Caenorhabditis elegans: one gene and its partner. The protein of the gene in region 2 purifies or fractionates together with the protein of the main gene of each other region. This does not show direct contact. Each region holds a gene or a part of one and is shown on either strand. Other genes may lie near its edges.

Region 1 (6,948 bases), about 15 Mb from region 2:
AGCTGAGTGTAAGTTTACGAAATTTTACAATGCAAACTATCTAAAACATATATTATTTTTTTAGGTTACATCAGCCTCAGAACACCCTCTTCTTTGATTGTGTATAGTATCACAAAATAATTCTCACTTTGAAACGGGTATTTTCTTTTGATGTATTTTCAATTTGTAAATTACGAATAAAATCCATGCCATTATTACATTCACTTTATTTACAAAACATGTACATTTCCCCTATAATTCAACGGGAATATCAAAATTGTTTAGCTCGGGGGCTGAAGAATCAAAGTGTGAGAATGTCAGAGACCAGTAGATGCTTTAAATTCAATTTACAAATATGACGAGTTGGAGAAATTGCAGTCGTTGGCCATGGAAAAGTATAGGCTGTGCTTGTCGGATCGCAAGTCAGCATACATTCGGTGTGTCATGGGGATTGTTGTGGTTGACGGGCAGCTGTGCTTCCAGTTGAAGATGTACTCTTTTCTGGAAAAAAGCAGCGAATTATCTATGATTCAGGATCAAGGATTATAGTGCTCATTACCTGTGCCCATTAATCAGTTGCTGCTCCGTGAGCTCATCAAGTTTTCCAATTACAGCTATAGCTCTTCCAATCGGATCCTGTGGCTTGATGACAAACGTCGGCTCCTCATCAGTAGAATTATCCCAAAGGTTATGTACAGCAATGTTCACCAATTGTTTGATTGCGCTTTGAACATCAGTTTCCGATGGATATGGCGGGTGCATTTTTTCTCTCTGAAGATTTAACTTATAAAAGAAATCAAATGAAAACCCAAAAAATTCCAAACTCACAGCATTTTCGAAAAGTTGCATCAAGTGGACCTTCATGTTATGAATCATTTCGATCTGGCTACAGTACTTGGAAATTTCATTGTAATCCATTGGAGTGTTGTTGAGCGTCGCGTTTGCTAGAATTTTGGCTGTCTTGGTCCGCTGCTTTTGTTTCTCCTCAGACACGCCATAGCTGCTCTCGATTTCTGTGAGGCGTTCTAACGTGGCTGCAAACACGGTTGGCTTCATCCATTCGCGAACTTGATCGAGAGTTGCGTTGTTGAATATTTCGAGTATCTGAAAAAATAAACGATGTCCATTGAACCGAAATTATCTACCCGAAGGTAGAAGACAAAATATTTACTCTGATAAGAAATATACCTTCCGGCCGCATAAGTACTGTAAAATAGACACCTACACCGTATAAACGAACGATTGCAAAAAAATGCGTCAGACAAAAACTTAAATTTCAAGTTCAGTTCTCAAGAATTCCAAAGTTTTACACAAACCTCTTCTGCAATTTTTGTGTCATTGAAAATCCTTGCTTGATTGGCCACCGGAATCGGTAGTGCAGCTTCCCAGCTTCTCACCCACACATTATTAGAAATCAACATTCTCTCTGAGATTGTATTTGTTTTCTCATCATAATCTTTTGGCGAATGCCATCTCAGAAAGTCAGCAAAAACAGCTCCAGCATTTGCAGCCTTGAAGCTTTGCATATCACTTTTCACAAGTTCCATTTGCAGGTGCACGCGATCTTCCTCGTCAAGACTGAACAGGTGCTCATTTCGAGCATCTATCATCTCATCAGTGAGTGGGCAAGCATCTTGTGTGACTGGAATATACATGGGCACGTCTGGAATCTCGACAAGGTTCAGTCCAAATAGTTTGAGGCGTCCTTCGTTGTTCGGTTCAAGAATTGTTTCAGCATTGAAACTTTCATTCGCGTCAAAGAATTCATCTGAAACTAGATTTCTAACTTTTGCACTAGTGGTGTCTGAAACTTACCAGAATTATTGGCACTATGAGCAGAGTCAAGCATTCTGTGGCGCTTCTGGCGAGCATCAATGCATAACTGGAGCATTTGCATTTTCTGTGAAAATGAGCATTGCAAGTGATCAATTCCGTTGTAGACTTTTCTGAAAAACATTGCTAATTACCATTTTTACAACTGAACCTTGCTTACTCGACAGTTTCCATTTTCTCGTACTTCTCGCGAAGTTTCAGCAGAAACTCAACCCATAACTGCGGCTCGGCACGTGGTTGATCACTCATAAAAACTCTCGCATTTGCCAAGGCAATTGCCAATCTCCATGTAACAGTTGACTTCTTTGCACACTTGTACGGAGCAAGGAAGGTGTTCGCTGATTTGGGATTCTTATAATTGAAAAGAGTATCCAACTTGACGTTGTTCACCAGCTCGTCATCTGACAATTGGTTCTCCGACATACTAGCAGCATTCAACATATTGAGCTCGTGAGCCAAGGACTCGTTGTCGGACTCCGCTTCGTTGAAGATGAAGTTGACCCAAGATTTCATCAGAGCCTGAAAATGAATAGGATAATTACGTTTACCACTAGAAAATTTTGTCGTTTAACTAACCGGCGGCATTGGTCCATTGGTTCCACTATCCTCCGTCTCTGCATGCTTCCCAATTTTCACCTCAGACGCTGAGTTGATAGTGAGCTTTTGGAATGCATTTGGAAGCTCTTTTTGTGTGTAGTGTTTCCCAAGAATCAGTGCACAATTAAGGTCGCTACGGATTGCTTTTCTGGTGTCTTCTCGGTAGACGCCAAGAATTTCATCTAAAAAATATTGTTAGTTCACAATTAATCAGATAAGTGTAGCTCACCAAGTACTCCCAGCAATGAACTTTTAGTCGACTTCATTTTGATATTCCAATACGAAGAATAGTTGATATCAAAATCTGAATGACTATGGTTCTCAGTCAATGAGTTTTCACGGAAGAAACGCCACGTGGCAGCAATTTCAAGTATATCGCTGAAATTTTAATTGTTTTTTTTTTCAGTTTGAAAGTTTGAGTTCGAGTTCTTACAACGGCAAACTTGATGTTGGTCCAGTCGCGAGAAGACCAAAAGTTTCGACAGTATGATTCCGGAAATACTTACTTTGTTTCAACTGAAAATTATACATTACAATTTTAAGAAAATGAGCCAACGCTTCCTACCGGAACAACATGTGTGAATCTAGAGCTCATGCGAACTTCCTCATGAAACGCCGAGATGCTAGCTCCAAGATGCTCTTTGAACAAGTAAAGCAGATCGGTCATACTGCAGTGTCTTCGGTTAATGTTTCGGAGAACAACGGACTGCAAATATTTTGTTGTGATAGGCATTTTTAAATAAAAAAAGCTATATTCATAAATAAAAACTCACCGAAAAGTTATACGTAGAATTTCCATCCGACGCGTACCCAGAAATCATGTCCAAGCTTTGGTCCTTGATGTAGCAGAACACTGGGACCTCACTGGAATTTAAAAACCAAATTAATAACAAATCACAGTTTCACATACCATCTACTTGAGTGCAATATTGTTTTGATATTTCCCATAACGGTGTTCACTTGATTCTCGTCGGTGAATGTACCAGAGCTGTCATTTGGAGAGATGATAATGCATTCGCGAATGCCAAACTGAAATTTTAAAGTTTAATTGTTCATTTCGATTTTCAAAACACTAACCTTTAGCAAAAAGCTATCGGTGACTTCGAATCCATGCTTGAGGTTGGCAACTTCCTCGGCAACAGTGAATGGAATAACGTGGGCGTCTTCTTCAATCTCATCTTTTGGAGCTTCCACAAACTCCACGTCATTTGAAGGATTCGATGAAGCTGGCTGAAAAACTTTTTTGCATTTTATAATTTTTATATTTAGTTTATATAGTTTCTTGTTCATTTTGCAAAAAACTCACAACTGGCTGCAATAACTCGATTCTTAGCTTGTTCTCTCCAATCGAAATCATATTTGTGTCCGTCACAATCAACCGGTACTTCACATCATTCTGAACATAAATTTTTACTGATTAATGTTTGAAAAAAACAAAAACTCAAAAAACTCACCGATAAACACGGTCGGCGACTGGAAAACTCGTATTTCTGAAGAATTCCTTCAAATGCTGCACCGAAGTGCTCCATATCGGTGACAATTGTGAAGTCATTTATCTCGAAAACTGTGTTTTCCTCGATTTCCGCCATTGGAACGACAGGAAATGAAGGTTTGGCACTGCAAAATGAGAATGGTCTCGTGAGACGATAGACGTTCAATAGAGCGCAATTGCATTGTGACGTCAGCACGTAAACAAAAGAAGGGGGAAGGACGGATGGGCCTGAGAGGTGTGAGGTGGTTTATATCGATTTTTCGGTTGCTTTCATAAGGAAAAAAAAACAGAAATCGTTTATTAAGAAAAAGTCTATGTATGAAAAACTTCAAAAATTACCAAGCTGTGTTTGCTGCTGAACTGTTGAAAATTTGGACACATCTAGGAAAAAAAAGTGTTTTGACCAAAGTTTCGAGTACTTTGTTATTTGTTTTCGTGCTTGTTTTGCAAAAATCCGATACATTTTTTTCTAGAAAACATTCCATCAAGGGTTGTAATCAGAGTACCGACTGTTTTTATTTTTGACAAAAGTCAAAAATACTGATGACCTAAATTAAAATGTGAACATGAATTTTAAAAAAAACTAATTTTTGAAAGCGAACATGTTTGGAAAATCTAACTTTGTTTTATGAAATAAAATCACGGTAAATTAAAAACTAAGTAATTTGAACTTAAATGCACCCTTTTTGCAGTCCATTCTACTCAAAAAAAAACTTTCCCAAAAAAAAAAAATATGTCTGTTGATCCGAGTATATCGTTGGTTCAATTACCCAATTTGAAGTCGCGTAAAATTTCGAGCAAAATCTGCAGCTTTTAAACAAGTTTATTGTAAATAAAATGAAAATATTTACCCATGTGGAGTACACGCGCTTTTCCACGCGGTGTACGGCAAGCGATTATCAATGGAGCGCGAAAGCCGCAAGGGGAGTCCAGAAGCCCGTATTGCAGGTAAGCTTATGGTCTGTTGCCACGTGACACTTAAGTTTTGATTGCCGAAAATAAATTCACATTTTTAATGCAATATTAAATTTCAGCCAAAGGAAAGCTCTCTCATCAAATCAGAGAAAATTCTACGTCGATCTGAAGGAAAATGATCGTGGTCGCTTTTTGCGCATTGCTCCGATGAACCCACGTCAAACTCGCCAACAAATCGCCATTCCATCCGATGGAATCGCCGAAATTCATAAGGTGCTAACCGAATATTTGGCCAAGTTCGGAGAGGGACACGAACAGGAGAACACCAACACTCCAAAAATCACTGCTGAAAACAGAACGTTCCTTTTCCATTCCGGAAAGAACGATCGTGGAGAGTTTGTTCGCATCTCGGAGGAAATAATTTTGTGTCAAATAGAAGTTTATTCTAATTTTATATTCAGATCAAACTCAACAGCGGCTATCGTAACGCAATCACCGTTCCAATGTCCGCACTCGTCGATTTCCGCAAAGAGTTGGATAACATCATCGCCAACCAAGGAAAGTAGTGATCTACATGTTTTCTCTGCAAAAAAACAATCGTAATTGCATAACATCTTTCGAACTCGATAGTCTCCCAAAAAATTCCTCCAAATCTTTACTGCATTTGCTTGTAAAGATTTTACCTATTTTTCTAAACTGCTGTGTTCCTGTATTTTCACTCTACCTGTTTCGTTTATTTATTTATTTAAGCATCAAGTTTATTGATCTCTAATAAATTCTCGGGAAATTCGTGTCTTAATTATTAATATTATAGTTATTCTTGCCAGGGAAAGTTACGTTTCCTTATCAAACACCTGTTGCGAAACCAGAAAAGGGCGGGTCTGACTAAGTGAACAAATATTTCGTAATAACTTTCTTCCAACAGAAATTAAAACACGCAAAAAACGGCCAACTCACTAGCTGGAACGTGGAGCCCCATGATAACTCCATGATAAAATAACTCTGATTGTCGACATAGCTTCAAGAATATCGTATTCTGCATTTTCAAAAAGTATTTTTCGTTCAAAATGGGCTTATTCTTCTCTAAAATTTCTTCCTTCATGTTTCCAAATATCGAATGTCGTACATTGATGCTCGGTTGAGATGGAGCCGGAAAAACGACTATTCTCTATAAGCTGAAGCTTAATAAGACAGTCAATACAATTCCAACCATTGGTTTGTTCACTTTTTAAGTGTTTTCATACTTGAGTATTTGTTTGAAGGATTCAACGTGGAGACTGTTACCTTCCAAAAACTCACTCTCATTGTTTGGGATGTTGGAGGTCAGATACTAAAACACTACTTTCCAAATACCACAGTAATTATCAAGAGGAATTATACAACAAAAATTGTTTAATTTCAGATATTAGTGTTTGTGGTGGACAGTTCGGATATTGAGCGGATTCCCGAGGCAAAGGAAAAATTGTTCAGTTTGCTCGCCGAGCCAGAGCTTGCGGATTCTCATCTGCTTGTCTTTGCAAACAAGCAGGATATGCCGAATGCAAGATCACCAGCCGAGCTGACTCAGCTGCTTGATTTGGGTTCACTCAAGAATAGAGAGGTAAATAGTTGTATTGTTTTGTAGACCTCATAATCTATAGGATATATATACCTAAAAGGAATGCCAAAATCTTGTGACATTATGATAATACAATTGGCTTTTCAGTGGTTCATCTGTGGTACAAACACTCACTCTGGACAAGGTCTCTACGAAGGTCTGATGTGGGTCAAGAAGCAGATGAAGACATAAGGATTGCTAAATGATTTCATTTCTTTACATAAGAAATTGAATAAAATATTGGAAAATGTTATTCATAACTGAATTCTTGTGGAAGTTTGAATTAAGGAAAAGATAATTAGAGTTAAATAATTAATCACAGGTTGAAAAAACAATCATAAACTAGTTCGACGGTTGTAAAGACGACTAGAATTGTTACAGTTAAAATGTATTGAAAACATTCGAGAGTTTTCAGCAACTGTATTGATCATTGCTTCGTAGTCACTTCCAGGTTCTGATCCTTCACCGCTACAGAACATCTGAAAAATTGATGGTTTAAATTGACGGAAAAGATTTGAAGACTAGTTTCAAAATT
Region 2 (7,941 bases):
AAGGGAAATCCAGGACACGATGGAGACGATGGAAAGCCAGGAGCTCCTGGAGTTATTGTTGCCATCACCCACGATATTCCAGGAGGATGCATCAAGTGCCCACCAGGACGTCCAGGACCAAAAGGACCATCAGGACTTCCAGGATCTGCTGGACCAGCCGGAGGAAACGGAAGACGCGGACCACCAGGACCAGTTGGAGGACCAGGAGAGCAAGGACCACAGGGAGATGCAGGAAGACCAGGAGCCGCCGGACGTCCAGGACCAGCAGGACCACGTGGAGAACCAGGAACCGAGTACAAGCCAGGACAGCCAGGACGTCCAGGACCACAAGGACCACGCGGAGAAACCGGACCAGCCGGAAATCCAGGAGCACCAGGAAACGATGGAGAGGCTGGAAAGAACGGAAACGCCGGAAGACCAGGACCACCAGGGCATCCAGGAAAGAATGGAGTTCCAGGACAAAAGGGAGAGGATGCCGCACCAGGACCAGATGCTGGATATTGTCCATGCCCATCTCGTGCAGCTTACAAGGCTTAATTCTGCCTTTCTCTGTCTTTTTTATAAATTTTCGAACATTCCAAATTGTGTTCTGTTTCTGCACTTTTTTTTAAATTGCAATTTCACATGCAAATCAAAATACTTCAGCTTTTCAAATCTGGCAAATTTCTTTTTTTTTTTAATTTGGAACACTTTTTAAAAACCAACTCTAAAAACCAACTACTAGAATTATTTACCAAAATAGAAAATTATACCAAGATTGTCCTTCGAAATATAGTCCAGTTAAAAAAATTTTTTTGCCGGGCAGCCCCAGTCCACCTGAAAATAAAGCCACCTACGTACCGTTTCATTATACAGAATTCCTCCATTTTCACAAAACCTTGCTGGCGTCGTCGAAACGTGCACGGAAGGTGTTGTGAATGTAATTTCACTTAGGTCACAGCTAAAGTCGTAGATTCTCTGGAACCTGTTTCCATCACTATCGTATCCTAGAAACCGACAATGAGAGAAGGGAGAAAATAGAAAGGAGAAATACCTCTGAACTTGGCATGATACAAGTTTTGAGACGTACAGTTATAAGATTGTTGAGTGATATGAGGGGTACTGCAGCCGTATCTGAAAAATGGTTTTTCTGCCAAAGCAATTATGTTCATGATTCATCTTTGTTAAATCTAAATGTTCAGGCTTTATTTTTGAATTAAAAAATGCTTCTGCAATATAAACATGTATTTTTTTCAACAGAAAAAAGTTTACTTTCCTTCAATTTTTTTGGATCATCCAAAATTGAATAATGTAGAAAAATTGATTCTATTGAATAATGTAGAAAAAAATTACTCAATTCCAAATTTTTATCACTCTCAAACATTCACCTCAAGTTCAAATCCATTTTCTGATCGAATAGGCCGTTTACATAAAGATGCACCTCATCGGGATGAATTGGAAATTCTTCACTCTCGACTTTAAATGCTAAAAATGCTGCCTGATTTTCAAGTGGGAAACGGAATATTCCTTGATTTGCAGTGGAAAATATTACTTTCTGAACGTCATCGTCACGAACATCCTCTACAAACCCACCATCAACTGTCAGCTTTGTTGGAGCTCGGACTTCAAATATACACGGTCTGAATGATTTTATTTTTAAATGAGATAAGATTTCAAGAGTCTTTTTTTGATTTTTTTTTCACAATTTGGGTCATCTTGTTTTAATTGTGTGCTCACTTGTTCAAATCTGCAGAGAGCTGAACCGTATACGCTCCAGTTCCGTGAACATTCTTTCCGTTGCAGATAAGGTGAATTGTTTGAGTGACGTCCGTGGTGATATCTTTGCATGTGGACACTTCGCCTCCAATCGGATTATAAACTGTTGCCCGCGGATTGAGGGCGTCGAGTGTATTGATAATTACAAAGAACTCTTCGATAAAATTGTCGACGTAAAAAGTGAAAGTGTCGGAGCAAGTCGCACTGAAGATATGTGTATGTATTATGAAACATGTTATTAATCTGGTATTGGTTCTCGAATAACGTAATGAAAATCCAGATAGAGTTTTAGATTATTATTAAATCGCAAATAGAAACCGGAAAAATGAAAAATGGCAATTTTACTATCAACAACAAGTTTCACGTTTTTGACAATTTTCGAGTATTTTTTTTCGAGTACTTTAAAACACGCCTATGGTACCAAAATAACCGAATATCATGATTAAAAAATTCAAAAAAAATTTCTAAATTTTATATGATTTTTTGAAAATTGAAAAAAATCTCAGTTTTTGCCTAATTCCGATTTGAATTTCCGCCTATTGAAGTTGTTCGATGGAGCGCACTTGCACGTTTTAATTTTAATTTATTGTTATTTTGAAAGAAAATGCATGCATTTAAACGATTTCGAACTTGAATTTACAGATTTCACAGACTCACGCTTGTGAATTAGCTTTTTAATCAAAAATTAGCATTTATTTTGACTTTTTCGTCAAATTTCAGACAAAACTACATTGAAAACATGGAAAATTGGTGAAAAATATGACAAAATAACAATAAATTAAAATTAAAACGTGCAAGTGCGCTCCATCGAACAAATCCAATTGGCGTAAACTCAAATCGGAATTAGGCAAAAACTGAGATTTTTTCAATTTTCAAATTTTAAAATTAGAAAAAATTTTTGCATTTTTTTATCATGATATTCGGTCATTTTGGTACCATAGGCGTGTTTTAAAGAAATTTCCCCACTGGCGCCACTCCACCTTTAACTAGAATTAACATTTTCCAGATTCTATTCCTAAATTTTAATGAAAACACTGAGTGAAAATGTCCCACAGGCTCAATTTTTAGAACTGCTGGTTAGCAATCTCCGAGCACTCCACGATTTTCTACAATATTCCCTACTAAAAATGTATACCTGAAATCACTCTCCACTAAATCACCAAATTTTGCAGTACCGTCATGAGGCAGTATATCAATTGACTTATTGTAGCATGTCACTGGAGAGGTTTGATCCAACAGTTTCGGTCTTGAAGAGAAGGTAGGTTGAACCCGTTGAGAAGGTTCCGATAGATTTAGTGCAACAAGTTGTTTGAGTTTCGAATTCACTGAAATTTAATCCCTCTGGCTAAAACTGGTCAAAAAACGTTTTCTGTAAAGATTTGAAGAGGTTCTATTAAATGTGTTGGCTTGGCCTAGCCAGAAAGAGAATCCACTGGCGTTTCCACCAAATTCACTCTTGAAAAAATTGTTCTTAGTTGGTTATTTAATTCATCAAATAAAAATTCCCGCTAGAAGCACAAAAGTGAGCTCAATACCTTTCGTGTAGTTGTGACTCGGACCAGAACTTATGATGTAAACATTTTTAAGTAAGCCTGCTGTGTTTTTTCAATATGTCAAACTTTTGCCAATATTTTCAATTTTACGTGTTTTTTACTTAAACTTACAGCTTTTCGTTAGTTCGCCGTGTTGACTTTTATTGGGAATACTTACTCCACTACAGACCCGCAGTAGTAGAATACTTGTAATTACAAATTTGAGCATTTTACTGAAAAATCGTCTTTATTTAGAAGATATTTCTTAATGTAATAATTAAATAAAACTAAATAAAATTGTTATCAGGTTTTTTTTGTTTGAAAAAGTTAGTTTATCCAATTGAGGCTCTTAAATTAGTTGTCACTGATAATGCGATTATACTCTTCCATTGGCAAGTTGTTCTCATCTAGAATTCGAATAGAGCAGAGGTTGATGTGTTGTGAAAATTCAGTTTAAAATGTTTACATTTCAGGAACTTCTGGAAAAGACAGTGGGAAACAGAAATAAAAATGGTTAAGCGTTCCACTTTGCTTCCAGCTGTTGTTTTTACAGTCGAGAACTTGCAGGTTTTTTGTTACTTACAAGTTTTTTTATTAATCAAACAATTTTTCATGTGATTTATTCAAGTGAGTTATGTTTTAACAGTTGTATTACACTGGCAACGTTCTATAAAGCTTTATAAATTTTTTAAACCACCAATGAAACTTTGTTTTCACTTTAAAAAATGTTTATTTATGCTATTTATAGGATTATTGCAAAGTTTCCGCAAAAGTATAAATAAAACTGCTTTAAAAAGATTTTGAGGCAATTGTTAAGACGTTTTAGGCTGAACAAAAATTCTGAAATATTTAAAAAAAAAAATTTATTAAATTGTTTTGCCTATTTTTAGACTTTATTAAAAGCATTACAAAATTGCAAACTTCCTCATTTGTAATAGTTGCAAACGTTACAAAAGCAGTGAAAACGTGCTCGGAGAATATCAAATCGACTTCTTTATATTCCATTGTTATTTTTTGATGAAAACCCGCTTTAAGTTCTTATAAATTCAATTTGAAAGTCTGAAAGTGAGTTAAATTACTTTCCTAGTGAGTATAACTGGACTGCATGTTGAAGTGGACGACCTCTTCCAAGGCAAACCTACAACGTGTACGTCCTTGCAAGATTTGACTGACAATCCAAGTTTATGGAAAACTTCTTTTCTTTTCAGTTCTGCAATATTTCGAAAATTCGAATAAATTATCCAGCTTTGAAATAATAATTGTTTTTTTTAGTCGAAACTTAGATTGCACCTGACAAGTTGTTAGCGGAAGGAAGTAACTTCAGTGCCAGATTTTAGAACGAGTTTTCACCAACCAAGTTTTTTGTCGCTCTAGATAGTGTTCTGAATATTTTTTTACAAAAAATTTGAAAAGGAAAACTCAACTCGTACCCCTGACATTTTTCTCAGACATTTTTTTTGGTGCACGCGTGAAATGGCTCAAAACTTTATTGTTAAAATAGGGAGCTTTTTTCTCCAAAAATAGCTTTTTAAAAGTTATAATTTCTTGAAAAGTCTGAAAATTTTCTCCTACAATCATGTCTGTTTTTATTTTTGTGTGCCAATTTTTTAAATAAAAAATTGACCATTTTTTGTAAAATTTTTTTTCTGAAAAAAAAAACTTTATTTCTCAAAACATTCAAATAAAAAGAAATAAACGTGGTTGTATGTCAAAATTCTGAATAAAAGTTTTTGGCATATAAAGGGCTGAAGCACAACTGAAAAGCAGAGAAAAGTTTAAATTTGACAAAAAAAATTGAGAAAACGGTGGGCAAGATTGATATTGGAAGTGGTAGACATAAAATTAAGATGAATAATATTGGAAAGTAGTGTGACGGTAAGAAGGGAAACATTGAAAAACCATTAAAACTATGTGATCTGTGGAACATTGAAAGAGACAAAGAAAGCGATGGGAAATTGTTGATTGAAAGAAAGAAGGAAATTAAAGCCGGCTTAATTTCCCATCAAGGTTAAACAAGACAAGAAGCGACTAGAAGTTTTGCAGAACGAAAGATGCGTCGAGATATACAGCTAGCGATTAGGTGTAGCTTACAGACAAAAATCACAGCTGGAATGAAAAATGAAGTAGTGATTTTGCTCTTCGTTGAAGAGAAATTGTGGGGCACTGAAGATCAGGAATTCAAGGGGTACACCAGTATGACGGTTAAAGAAGGAACTATTGATGTGAAAAACTTAATGTTCTTTCGAAATTAAAGATAATAAGATTTTGAAAAAAGTTGGAAATTTTAATTTTATACGAAAACCTTCTGCTCAAGCTTTTCCTGCATTCCATTCAACAATCGCTTGCATTTTGCACGTCGATTTTTGAACCAGATCTGCAATTCGAATTCGATAACTAGTAATCAGTATTAATATAGAATATTACCTTCACATTGTGCTGACTAATATGCGGATAATTCTCTCGATAAGCGCAGTTGTTCAAGCATTGTGTGTACTGATCGATTTGCATCCATGTCGGGTGAGGATTCTCTTCGAACCATTTTTCGAGGACGGGTAGCTCGGTGAGTGGGTCGAACATCAGGCGTGAGCGAGCCGCTGAAAACACTAAAACGGAGATTATTTGCTTTATCGTTGAATTTTTTCAAACGTTCCGCGTCAGTGATTTTATCGAAAAATAGAAGTAAAATTCCACCTTAAAGTTTTCTTGTCGAAAAGATAGAGAATTTTTATGCAGTCATTTTTCATATGCATAGCAAACGCAATCTAAGAGCGTTTTAGAGATAGCAACCAATATAGGTTTTCAGACTGAGTATCATGAACATGGCCACCTTCTCGATAAGTTTGAGCCAGTACAAAATCCCTAGAATATTTCTCAAAATCAAGTTTGCAGTTGATTTTCTGTTTTATTTCTGTAAACACAATACCTAGCCTCATTTTTTTTTCCTCAGATCTCAGTGATCGTAATGGTTGTCTGTGCGAAATTCGACGCCCCACATTTCTCCCTTTGTTATGTGTCTTCGCGCACTTTGTGTATGTCTATGTGTGTTTGTGTGTGTGTGCTCGCTTCTAATTTATGAGTTCTTGGTTCAACCCATCTCCCTCTCTTTTCCGTTAGCCTGTCTGTTTTAAAGCTCTTTGTTGTACCTGATGAGTTGGCGTTTTGCATGGAGTTGGTGGATGATGAGTGGGTGCTGAATGCTCCGAGGTCGAGCCCGCTGAGAAGCTTTGGGGAGGTCGAGGACAATGATTCGCGCATTGAGTTTGCCATATCCGGGGAGGATGCAATTGAATCCTGTAGGAAATGTTGCTTGTTTTGGGATGAATAATTTTTAAAGGTGGACCATAATTGTGTCGAAAAATATTTTTAATTGGCGCTCAGCCGACGCTGACAGTTTGGAATAAATTCAGATTTTCGGCCGTAGTGTTAGGTCTTTATAACCTTATCGGTAATATTTAGCAATTTGGGAGATGTTATCTTTAATGTGAATCAGAATCGAAATAGCCGAAAATCCGTTTTTAGCGTGATTTTTCAAAGCTTTTCAGCACGAGCAACGCTAATCAACCTAACTATGGCACAAACAGTCAAACGTAACTTACAATTTCCGGTTCTGGTTTAATATTGATGGAAAACAAAGTATCTTGAATAGTTTCATCTGAATTGCTATGAATCTCATCATCGGCTGGAGATGGCGAGTCGGAGCCGCCGACAATCTTGGTTTCATCCAGTTTGTCGTAAAAATCAAATTTTTGACGTTGTTCTCCAAACAGGGACTGGAGCAAGTTGAGTTGGAATCCCGGGAGCAGCTGCGCCGCTGTCTGAGCTGACGAGACCTGCACTAGGTCTACTGGAGCTAAGGTACGGGAACTCGAGCGTTTTTGTGTGAACCAATTGCAAATCTGGAAATTCATTTGATTAATGGAGTAATATGTAGGCGCATTAAATTCACCTGTTGATAGCTGATCTTGGAATTGTTCTTTCTGAACGGACTCTGATTGAGCTGGCTTAAGTAATTGTTCATTTTTTGTTTAGATGGATTTGCATCGGATTTGAACCATTTATCAAGACGTGGAATTTCGTAAAGAGTGTTGAATCTTTGTACTTGTGTTGGGCTGAAATTAAATACATACATTATTATGTGTACTGAAAGTAATATGAAAGCAGGCGTTTATCTTTCTTGAGAGTGGAATGAAAAGAAAATCATGTAGCGTATTTCTTCTATTTGTATTGCACCCGACTACCTAACTTTGAAACGTTATATCTTAATTCATTTTAAAGAGTATAAATACACTTTAAAGATATACATATATTTTTAACTACGAATCTATAGAAAAATAACTGAAAAAATATTTTGTTAGTTAACAACTTCGAATAGCACAAACGATAACTGAGATATAAACAGTTAAAGTTGAACAATGTGGTACAATACAAATAGAGGAAATACGGTGTAATTACTCGTATACAAGTTTTTTGTAAGGATAGTTTTTAATCATTTTTTACTGACACTTTTTCTCCAATCACGACTCCATTCTGATAGTTATACTGGGTCCCCTTCTTCTTGTTTTTGCGCCCCCCCCCCCCCCCCGGGTAACAGTTTGGATATATCACTGTATGCACACAACGCATTCAATCTCCCTTTTTCTATTCTTTATTACTC

Evidence for each region.
Region 1: the proteins of hrg-11.4 (region 2) and rbg-1 fractionate together in Caenorhabditis elegans (co-fractionation; one large-scale study listed by BioGRID). This does not show direct contact.

The regions. Positions count from the first base shown.
Region 1 is NC_003284.9:14,980,611-14,987,558, reverse strand, and holds rbg-1 (Rab3 GTPase-activating protein catalytic subunit), read right to left. Parts: upstream 4,027-6,948; 5' UTR 3,999-4,026; coding exon 3,864-3,998; intron 3,806-3,863; coding exon 3,716-3,805; intron 3,640-3,715; coding exon 3,487-3,639; intron 3,439-3,486; coding exon 3,320-3,438; intron 3,274-3,319; coding exon 3,183-3,273; intron 3,116-3,182; coding exon 2,975-3,115; intron 2,926-2,974; coding exon 2,843-2,925; intron 2,788-2,842; coding exon 2,639-2,787; intron 2,592-2,638; coding exon 2,389-2,591; intron 2,332-2,388; coding exon 1,973-2,331; intron 1,926-1,972; coding exon 1,795-1,925; intron 1,748-1,794; coding exon 1,296-1,747; intron 1,084-1,295; coding exon 808-1,083; intron 751-807; coding exon 539-750; intron 481-538; coding exon 327-480; 3' UTR 194-326; downstream 1-193. Other genes in the region: iglr-1 (Ig-like domain-containing protein), read left to right, coding at 1-8, 65-97; plp-2 (DUF3467 domain-containing protein), read left to right, coding at 4,755-4,849, 4,936-5,419. UniProt on the Caenorhabditis elegans protein: Probable catalytic subunit of a GTPase activating protein that has specificity for Rab3 subfamily. Rab3 proteins are involved in regulated exocytosis of neurotransmitters and hormones. Specifically converts active Rab3-GTP to the inactive form Rab3-GDP.
Region 2 is NC_003284.9:422,110-430,050, forward strand, and holds the start of hrg-11.4 (VWFA domain-containing protein), read right to left. Parts: upstream 3,527-7,941; 5' UTR 3,517-3,526; coding exon 3,420-3,516; intron 3,081-3,419; coding exon 2,891-3,080; intron 1,960-2,890; coding exon 1,717-1,959; intron 1,620-1,716; coding exon 1,368-1,619; intron 1,114-1,367; coding exon 1,034-1,113; intron 987-1,033; coding exon 841-986; intron 583-840; exon of another isoform or gene 538-582; coding exon of another isoform or gene 1-537. Other genes in the region: col-19 (Cuticle collagen 19), read left to right, coding at 1-537; Homeobox protein dve-1, read right to left, coding at 5,578-5,661, 5,712-5,890, 6,431-6,578, 6,884-7,183, 7,234-7,396.